Chlamydomonas reinhardtii: one gene and its partner. The protein of the gene in region 1 binds, or shares a complex with, the protein of each later gene. Links are inferred from orthologs where the notes say so. Each region holds a gene or a part of one and is shown in the gene's direction. Other genes may lie near its edges.

What was found.
Region 2: CHLRE_02g075150v5 (region 1) and CHLRE_16g667750v5 share a complex: the UniProt entries of both Arabidopsis thaliana proteins name them as parts of the RNA polymerase II complex. The link is inferred for Chlamydomonas reinhardtii from reciprocal best matches to the Arabidopsis thaliana genes NRPB2 and NRPB7.

The regions. Positions count from the first base shown.
Region 1 is NC_057005.1:294,213-298,019, reverse strand, and holds part of CHLRE_02g075150v5 (uncharacterized protein), read left to right. Parts: coding exon 1-53; intron 54-264; coding exon 265-426; intron 427-635; coding exon 636-751; intron 752-1,126; coding exon 1,127-1,280; intron 1,281-1,482; coding exon 1,483-1,606; intron 1,607-1,926; coding exon 1,927-2,133; intron 2,134-2,431; coding exon 2,432-2,628; intron 2,629-2,883; coding exon 2,884-3,077; intron 3,078-3,292; coding exon 3,293-3,554; intron 3,555-3,703; coding exon 3,704-3,807. UniProt on the Arabidopsis thaliana protein: DNA-dependent RNA polymerase catalyzes the transcription of DNA into RNA using the four ribonucleoside triphosphates as substrates. Second largest component of RNA polymerase II which synthesizes mRNA precursors and many functional non-coding RNAs.
Region 2 is NC_057019.1:4,314,862-4,318,749, forward strand, and holds the start of CHLRE_16g667750v5 (uncharacterized protein), read left to right. Parts: upstream 1-1,087; 5' UTR 1,088-1,253; coding exon 1,254-1,352; intron 1,353-1,688; coding exon 1,689-1,757; intron 1,758-2,448; coding exon 2,449-2,565; intron 2,566-3,051; coding exon 3,052-3,102; intron 3,103-3,359; coding exon 3,360-3,494; intron 3,495-3,728; coding exon 3,729-3,788; 3' UTR 3,789-3,888. Other genes in the region: CHLRE_16g667800v5 (uncharacterized protein), read right to left, coding at 264-362, 550-735. UniProt on the Arabidopsis thaliana protein: DNA-dependent RNA polymerase catalyzes the transcription of DNA into RNA using the four ribonucleoside triphosphates as substrates. Component of RNA polymerase II which synthesizes mRNA precursors and many functional non-coding RNAs.

The DNA.
Region 1 (3,807 bases):
ACATCCGGGCCGAGTTCCCCATCTTCATCCTCTTCCGGGCGCTGGGCTTCGTGGTGCGTGGGGTCGACGGGGCGAGGCGCGGCGAGGGAGGGAGGGAGGGGTAGTAACCCAACAAGACCCGACTGCAGGGGAAGCAGTAGGAGATGCAGCAGGGGATGCAGCAGGAGATACAGCAGCGGCACGGGGTGCACACTCGCCCCCCACCCCCCCACCGCCCGCCTACCTCCCACTCCCCTCTCCTCCCCTCCGCCCCCCTCCCTCCAGTCTGACCGCGACATCCTGGAGCACATTGTGTACGACCTGGACGCCGACCCCGCCATGCTGGAGGCGCTGAGGAGCAGCGTGGAGGAGGCGCAGGAGGTGCAGACGCAGGAGGAGGCGCTCAACTACCTGGGCAAGAGAGGAACAGTCACGGGAGCCAGCAAGGTGCGCGGCTCGGCAGGGAGGGTGCTGGGGGTGGGGGAGGGGAACTGTGCACGGGCTTACCTAGGGTGCAAAAACCCACCCACGCAACCTAAACCTGAAACCCTTGAATGCCTTAAAATGCGCGCACACGCCCCCCCCCATCCTGTACCGCTTTTCCAAACATCCTTGCAACCCCCACCCCAACCCCACCCGAACCCACACCCCTGCAGGCCGACCGCATCCAGTACGCGCGCAACCTGCTGATCAAGGAGCTGCTGCCGCACCTGGGCACGGAGGAGTTCATGGAGACGCGCAAGGGCTACTTCGTGGGATACATGGTGCACAGGTGAGGGAGGGGGCGGGCGGAGGGGGGCGGCGGCTGTGGGGCCGGTGCGTGGGGCCCTGGTGGGGTATGGTGCTGTCGGCGGGGCGGCTGTCGCTGTCGCGGAGCACAGCCGGGTGCGGCACGGGCAGTGGCGCCCTTGTCTGGCGGTCCATGCAGCCGCGGTGGGCTGGTGGCGGTGGGCTGGTGGCTCAGGACCGCGTCACACCGGCAGCTCTCGGTCTTTTCATCCGCCCACTGCTTCCTCGCTGTCCGCCACGTCGCCTGCCGTGCTTGATGTCCCGCTTCGACCCCTCCAGCCCCCCTCCATCCCCTCCATAACCCCGCTCCTGCCTCGGCCGCTGGCCCCCGCCCCCGCCCCCTCCCCCCTGCCCGCAGGCTGATGCTTGTGGCTCTGGGCCGGCGCCCCGAGGACGACCGCGACCACTACGCCAACAAGCGGCTGGACCTGGGCGGGCCGCTCATGGCGGGGCTGTTCCGGCTGCTGTTCCGCAAGCTGTGCAAGGAGCTGCGCATGCAGGCGCAGCGCATGGTGGGCGGGGGGAGGGGGGGAGGGGGAGGGGAGTGGAGGGGGGGGATTGCACCAGTCCTTCGGAGGGGGGGCACGGACAGGAAAGGGGTTGCACACAGGACTGGCGCTGTATCATCGGGGGCGAAAAGGGGAGGTGGGTGCCGGTGCAGTGAACGCCCCCCGGCGCCTACACCCACACCCGCGCCCGCACCCGCACCCCCAGGTGGACGCGGGCAAGGAGATCAACGTGATCAGCGCCATCAACGACAAGGTCATCACGCGCGGCCTCAAGTACTCGCTGGCGACCGGCAACTGGGGCGAGCAGGGCAAGCAGGGCATCCGAGCGGGTGAGCGGCGGGCACGGCAACAGGGGTACTGACAGGTGACAGGGCAGTCGATGCATCTGCCCGCCCGCCCGCTCGCACCCCCCCCCCCTGGCGCCGCGTCTAGACCACCCGACAAGCCTCCTGCTGCTCGCGCTCGAGCCACTTATCTTACCCTCCCCCTCTACTCTGCAACTGTACCTGCCTACGACTTCACTTCTTAATTAATCATGAATGTAACCCCCCTCCCTCCTTGCAGCGCGACTGTTTCCTTACAGGATTGGTTTAATGTTAACCCCCTCCCGGTTCTCCGTGGACGGCTGCCCCTCCCTCCCCTCCTGCAGGTGTGAGCCAGGTGCTGGCGCGCCTCACCTACGCCTCCACGCTCAGCCACCTGCGGCGCGTCAACTCGCCCATCGGGCGCGAGGGCAAGCTGGCCAAGCCGCGGCAGCTGCACAACAGCCTGTGGGGCATCTTCTGCCCCGCCGAGACGCCGGAGGGGCAGGCGGTGGGGCTGGTCAAGAACATGGCGCTCATGTGCTACATCACAGGTGGGTGGGCCAGGAGGGGGAGGGAAGGGGAAGGGGAAGGGGAAGGGGAAGGGGAAGGGGAAGGGGAAGGGGAAGGGGAAGGGGAAGGGGAAGGGGAAGGGGAAGGGGAAGGGGAAGGGGAAGGGGAAGGGTCCAAGTAGCCGGATTGGGCAGGCACCTGAGGGCCGGTCGAAGGGCCGGGGCATGTGCCGACGGCGACGTTTCGCGCTTGGCGGCCGACGGCAGGGCTGCGGGCTCCAGTTGCCCCTGCTGGCCTTCACCCACGGCTCCCCCTGCCTCCCTCCTCATCGCCCTGCAGTGGGCACTCCCTCTCTGCCGGTGGTGGCGCACCTGGAGGAGTTCAACACGGAGGCGCTGGACGAGGTGACGCCCGCCGACATCGCCGCCAGCACCAAGGTGTTCATCAACGGCGTGTGGCTGGGCATCCAGCGCGACCCCACCGCGCTCATCAAGAACCTGAGGGCCATGCGCCGACAGGTGGCCTTCAGCACCGAGGTGCGGCCGGCCGCGTGTGTGTGTCAAAAAAAACGTGTGTGTGTGTATGGCTGCGCGGGTGTTGAGGGGTTTCCATAGTCTTCTTGCGAACTAGGACCCAGAGCCGCGTCAGAAGCAGGAGTACAGTAGCCACCTGTAAGGGTGTTGCATGCACGGTGTGCTGTTAATACCGCCCGCGCTTGGAGCCGCGACCGCACACGTGCTCATCCATGCACATCCACCACTCCCTTCTCCCGCGTCCTCCTCTTTGGTTAGGTGGCCATCATCTACGACGGCCCGCTCAAGGAGCTGCGCATCTTCACCGACTACGGCCGCGCCAGCCGCCCGCTCTACATCTGCGAGGACAACCGGCTGCTGGTGAGCAAGCACCACATCCGCCGCCTCATCAGCCCGCTGCCGGACGAGGACGAGTACGCCTGGCCGCAGCTGGTGCAGGACGGCCTGGTCGAGTGAGTGGGGCGCGTGTGCGTGTGGGCGTGCAAGCCCAAACGGAACCAAACCAAGCCAAACTAGCGGAGGGGAGTGCAAGCCCAGCATGGGCCGCCAGCAATAAAACGGGGGTTGTGATGTACGGCCGTACAGCAGAGGGGCGTTTGATACAGGAGGGGTGTGGATGCGAGGCAGGACCCAACCCCGCGCCCTCACGCACCCGCCCCCCGCACAGGTACATTGACGCGGAGGAGGAGGAGACGACCATGATTGCCATGACCATCGCCGACCTGCGCAACGCGCGCGAGGCGGGCGCCGCCACCGGCACCACCTACACGCACTGCGAGATCCACCCGGCCATGATCCTGGGCGTGTGCGCCTCCATCATCCCCTTCCCCGACCACAACCAGTCGCCCCGCAACACCTACCAGTCCGCCATGGGCAAGCAGGCCATGGGCATGTACGCCACCAACTACCAGACGCGCATGGACACGCAGGTGAGGGGGGGGGCAGGCATAGGAACACACGTAAACGGGGGGGCACGGCGGGCTGGCTGAGCAAGGCCCTCTTTCCCTGCCGCCGACACACTGGCCATCCTGAATTCCCCTCCCCTCATATCCCTCTCCACCTCCCCGCACGCCTGCAGGGCTTTGTGCTGTACTACCCCCAGAAGCCGCTGGTGTGCACCCGCGCCATGGACTACCTCAAGTTCCGGGAGCTGCCGGCGGGCATCAACGCCATCGTGGCCAT
Region 2 (3,888 bases), on another chromosome or scaffold:
TTCTTCAGTGCATCCTGTACCGCTTTTCTAACCATCCTTGCAACCCCCGCACGCGGGATCCCGTAGCCTTGTACTGCCCTACTTCGCTACTTCCACGACTTCTACTCATACTCGCAGCCTTGCCATCCCCCACATGTCCGTCACGCCCTGCTGCTGGACGCTTCTGATGTACAACGACTCGCTTATGCAGCTGCAGTTATCCTTGCCGCGCGACTGTTTCCTTACGGGATTGGTTCAACGTTAACCCGCGGCCTCCCCCGCACCTGGTCGGGGCATGTGAGCACGCGCAGGTAGGCGTCCGCGGCGGCCCCAAGGTGGCCCGCGTCCTCCAGCCTGTAGGCCTTGGCCATGAGCGCCTCACACTGCACAGGGGCGGGAGAGGAGAGGGAGGAGAGGGATAAGCAAGGTAAGCCGGAGGGGGAGCGTGGCGTGTTTTGGGGTGTTGGGGAGGCTGAGGGGTGACCGTGGCGCTCTCTCGCTGGCAGCTGCCGCGACCCGCTACGTGTGTGTCAGCCCCTTCGGCACTGCACAGGCACGAGCCCTTCCCACCTGCGGGCTTGGCTTCTTCAGCAGGTCACGCAGCAGCTTCTCTGCCTTTGCCCGGTCCTCGTGCAGCCTCCGCACGTAGTGGACCTTCTCCACATTCCGCTTGTATGCCGCAATTTCATGAGCGAATAACTCATCCACCGCGTCCTTCTTACGCGTTGGTAAAGCCGAACGCGACCTTCCGGCCATTTCACAAGTGGGTTCAACCAAATGTCGGGTTGGGTGACATCTTCACTAGAAACTAGCGTCAATATTTGTTATGAATTCGACCTGAAATAATAATATGAGTCCAGGCTTCAGTGTAATTAATGAATGGAGGCAAGCCAGCTCCTACTAGCAATACTCAGTGCTAGCGTGTCAGGGCAGAGTCATCCACTGCTGGCTAGTCTTCACTGTAGTAATTAATAGCTGGTGAACTCGGGAAAGGACAGCGAAGCGAACTATTGGCCACTTGCTGCATGAGACTTCGGCCCATGCCGTCTCGTCTGAAGTTGTCCCCTCAAATTAACTTTGTTACGCATGATGATTTTGTTAGAATCTACTATAGCACCTGCTCCAGTCCCCACCAGGCTCAGTGCCCCATCCCTTCGCAGAATTTCTTGCAGCCACCTCATACTCATACTTACCACAAGTAGTAACGCTGTAACTTCAAGAGGAGTCACGCATAGCGTGCTAGGGTAGTCGGCGATAGGTTAGTCCGCCCGAGGATGTTCTACTTCCTGACGCTCAGCAAGTCACTGGACATCCATCCTAAGCACTTTGGATCTAAGCTGCGGGAGGTCATTCGTGAGAAGCTTATTGCGGAGGTATGCCGCTAGTCCAGCGAGCACTTGGCGGGAAGACCTTTTGGGGGAAGGTCGGCACGGGGGTCAGGGAGCTCGGAGCCCGGCTGGGCCTACGTGCCCCTACACCGGCGCAATACAAAATCTCCAAAGCTCGTGCGTGCCGAACCACCTTGCTACGCTAGCACAAGGCTGGCCGGGGCGTGCACAGCCGCAGCTGGCCCCGCTTGCGGCGGCGCGCACGCAGGGCGTCCGAGCCTGCCGCCACACTACTCGCCCTGCTCCTCTACCCGCAATGAGTGCAATCGCTGGTGCAAGTCGTGCTTACGGACAAAACCACGCATACACGCAAACGTACAGACGGAAGGTACCTGCACTGGCAAGTACGGCTATGTGGTGGCGGTAACCAAGGTGGACGACATTGGCCGGGTGAGAGCTGCGTGTGCGTGTGTGTTTTGGCGGCGCGGGCAAAGGGCACAGGGGAAAGGGGAACAGGGAGAGTAAGAGTTGGATGGGCCCAGGAGCCTCCTGAATGAGTTGGGTCAGGTCGGGCGCTGCCGTCATGCGCCAGCGGCTGCGGCCTTGGCGTGGCCCCACATCTCCTCGCTCTAATGCGTTGGGTTCGGTTCAGTTTGGGCGGGTATCTACAACCTACCAGCCTGGCCGCTGCGAAGGAAAGGGGTGCGGGAGGGGGCGTGGGAGCTGTCTGCGGTAGGCGGCCAGGGGCACCACTGGGCAGCGGGCTCCTGACGCCGCCAGGATTCGGACGCCAGCAGAGGCGGCGGCTGAGGACTGGCGCAGGCAACAGTGGGCAGCTGAGGGGGGGCTGAGGGGGAGGCTCCGAGGCCCCGTCCACATCCCTGCCCACTACTACTGCTCCTGGCTACGCCTTCACTTCTTAAATAATCATGAATGTAACCCGCCCTCGACACAGACACAAACACACACACACACACACACACACACACACACACACACACACACACACACACACACACACACACACGCACACACACACACACACATACGTGTGCATCCGCGCTGACACGCACATACACACACGCCCCGACGCGCCCCGGTATCGGGCACGTGGGCACCCCTGCTCACGCGCGCCGCGCAGGGCCGCATCCGCCAGGACCAGTCGGGCTACGCCACCTTTGAGGTGTCGTACGGCTGCATCGTGTGCCGCCCCTACAAGGGCGAGGTGCTGGACGCGGTGGTCACCTCCGTCAACAAGGTGTGCGGGGCGTGTGTGTGGATGGGGGGATGCATAGTTTGGTACAGAGAAGTGTAGCGAAGTAGGGGAGTTGTATATACCAGCCCAAACTAAGCCAAACCAAGCCTAACTGGCGGAGCGCAGGCAGAGGCGTTAGTTGCAAGCGGTAATACTTATGGGGGGAGGGGCGCAGGGGAAGGGGGGCGGGAATGCTGTGGAGGTGGCGCGGGCAGTGCAGGGCATGGAGGAAGGGCGGGAGGCGTGGGGTGCGGTTGGCTGTGCGGCTGCCCGTCACTAAAATGTGGACAGCTGCTGGTGACGTGATGCATCAGCAGCGCCGCTAGCTACAAACCCCTGTTCCACCCCCATTCGTTTCGGCGATGCACTTAGCGTACTACTCCCCGCTGGCCCAGCCGCCCGGCTGACCCGTTGCCAACATCGCAACAAAGGCGGAGACCTTTTTAAAGTGTAACACGCCGCCACGCCATGCCATGCCACGCTATGCAGATGGGCTTCTTCGCCCAGGCAGGGCCGCTACAACTGTTCGTCACACAGCATGTGAGTAATGCCGTGAAATGCTGTGTGCCAGTGCCGTGTGTGACAGCTGTGCAGCGGGGAAAGGAGGGCGGCACAGGAGGGCGGCGAGGGGCCCGGGGAGGGGAGGGCAGGGAGGTGGTTGGGTAACCCAATGGCTGCCCACACACACCCGCTGTGACTCCTGCACGCGCCCCATGTGGCGCCCTACTCCCGCTGCGCTGCTGCCCCTGCGCTGAATAACGCTGCTGTTGGTCTCGCCACGACGCCGCACCACGCAGTTAATTCCGGACGAGTTCGAGTTTGACACGAGTGACGATAATAGCTGGATATCAATGGACCAGACCACTCGCATCCAGGGCGGCACGCACGTGCGTATACGCATCGTGGGCATCAAGTACGACCCCTCAGAAGTGGTGAGTGCGTGCGTGTGTGCGTGTGAGAGGAAATGTAGGGAAGGCGGTTGTGCTTGCCGCGCGCTGTCCTCCTTCTGCCGCTGGTGCTTGTCGCGACACGCCTGCCAGCCCATGCCGCTCGTCATCCTGGACGGCTAGTGCCTCGCCCCGCCCCGCCCCTTCCATGTGCCTGCCCTTGCCGACCCTGTGTGTCTCTGTCTCTGTGTGTGTGCCCCCGTGTGTGCGCTGCTGCAGTTTTGTATTGCAACCATGAAGGAGGACTACCTTGGAGTTATAGGCAGCGAGGCGGCGTGAGAGGCGGCCTGGCAACGTGAGAGGCGGCGTGACGGCGGTAGAGGCGGCCTGGCGGCAGGAGAGGCGGCCTTGGCAGCGGGAGAGGCGGCCTTGGCAGCGG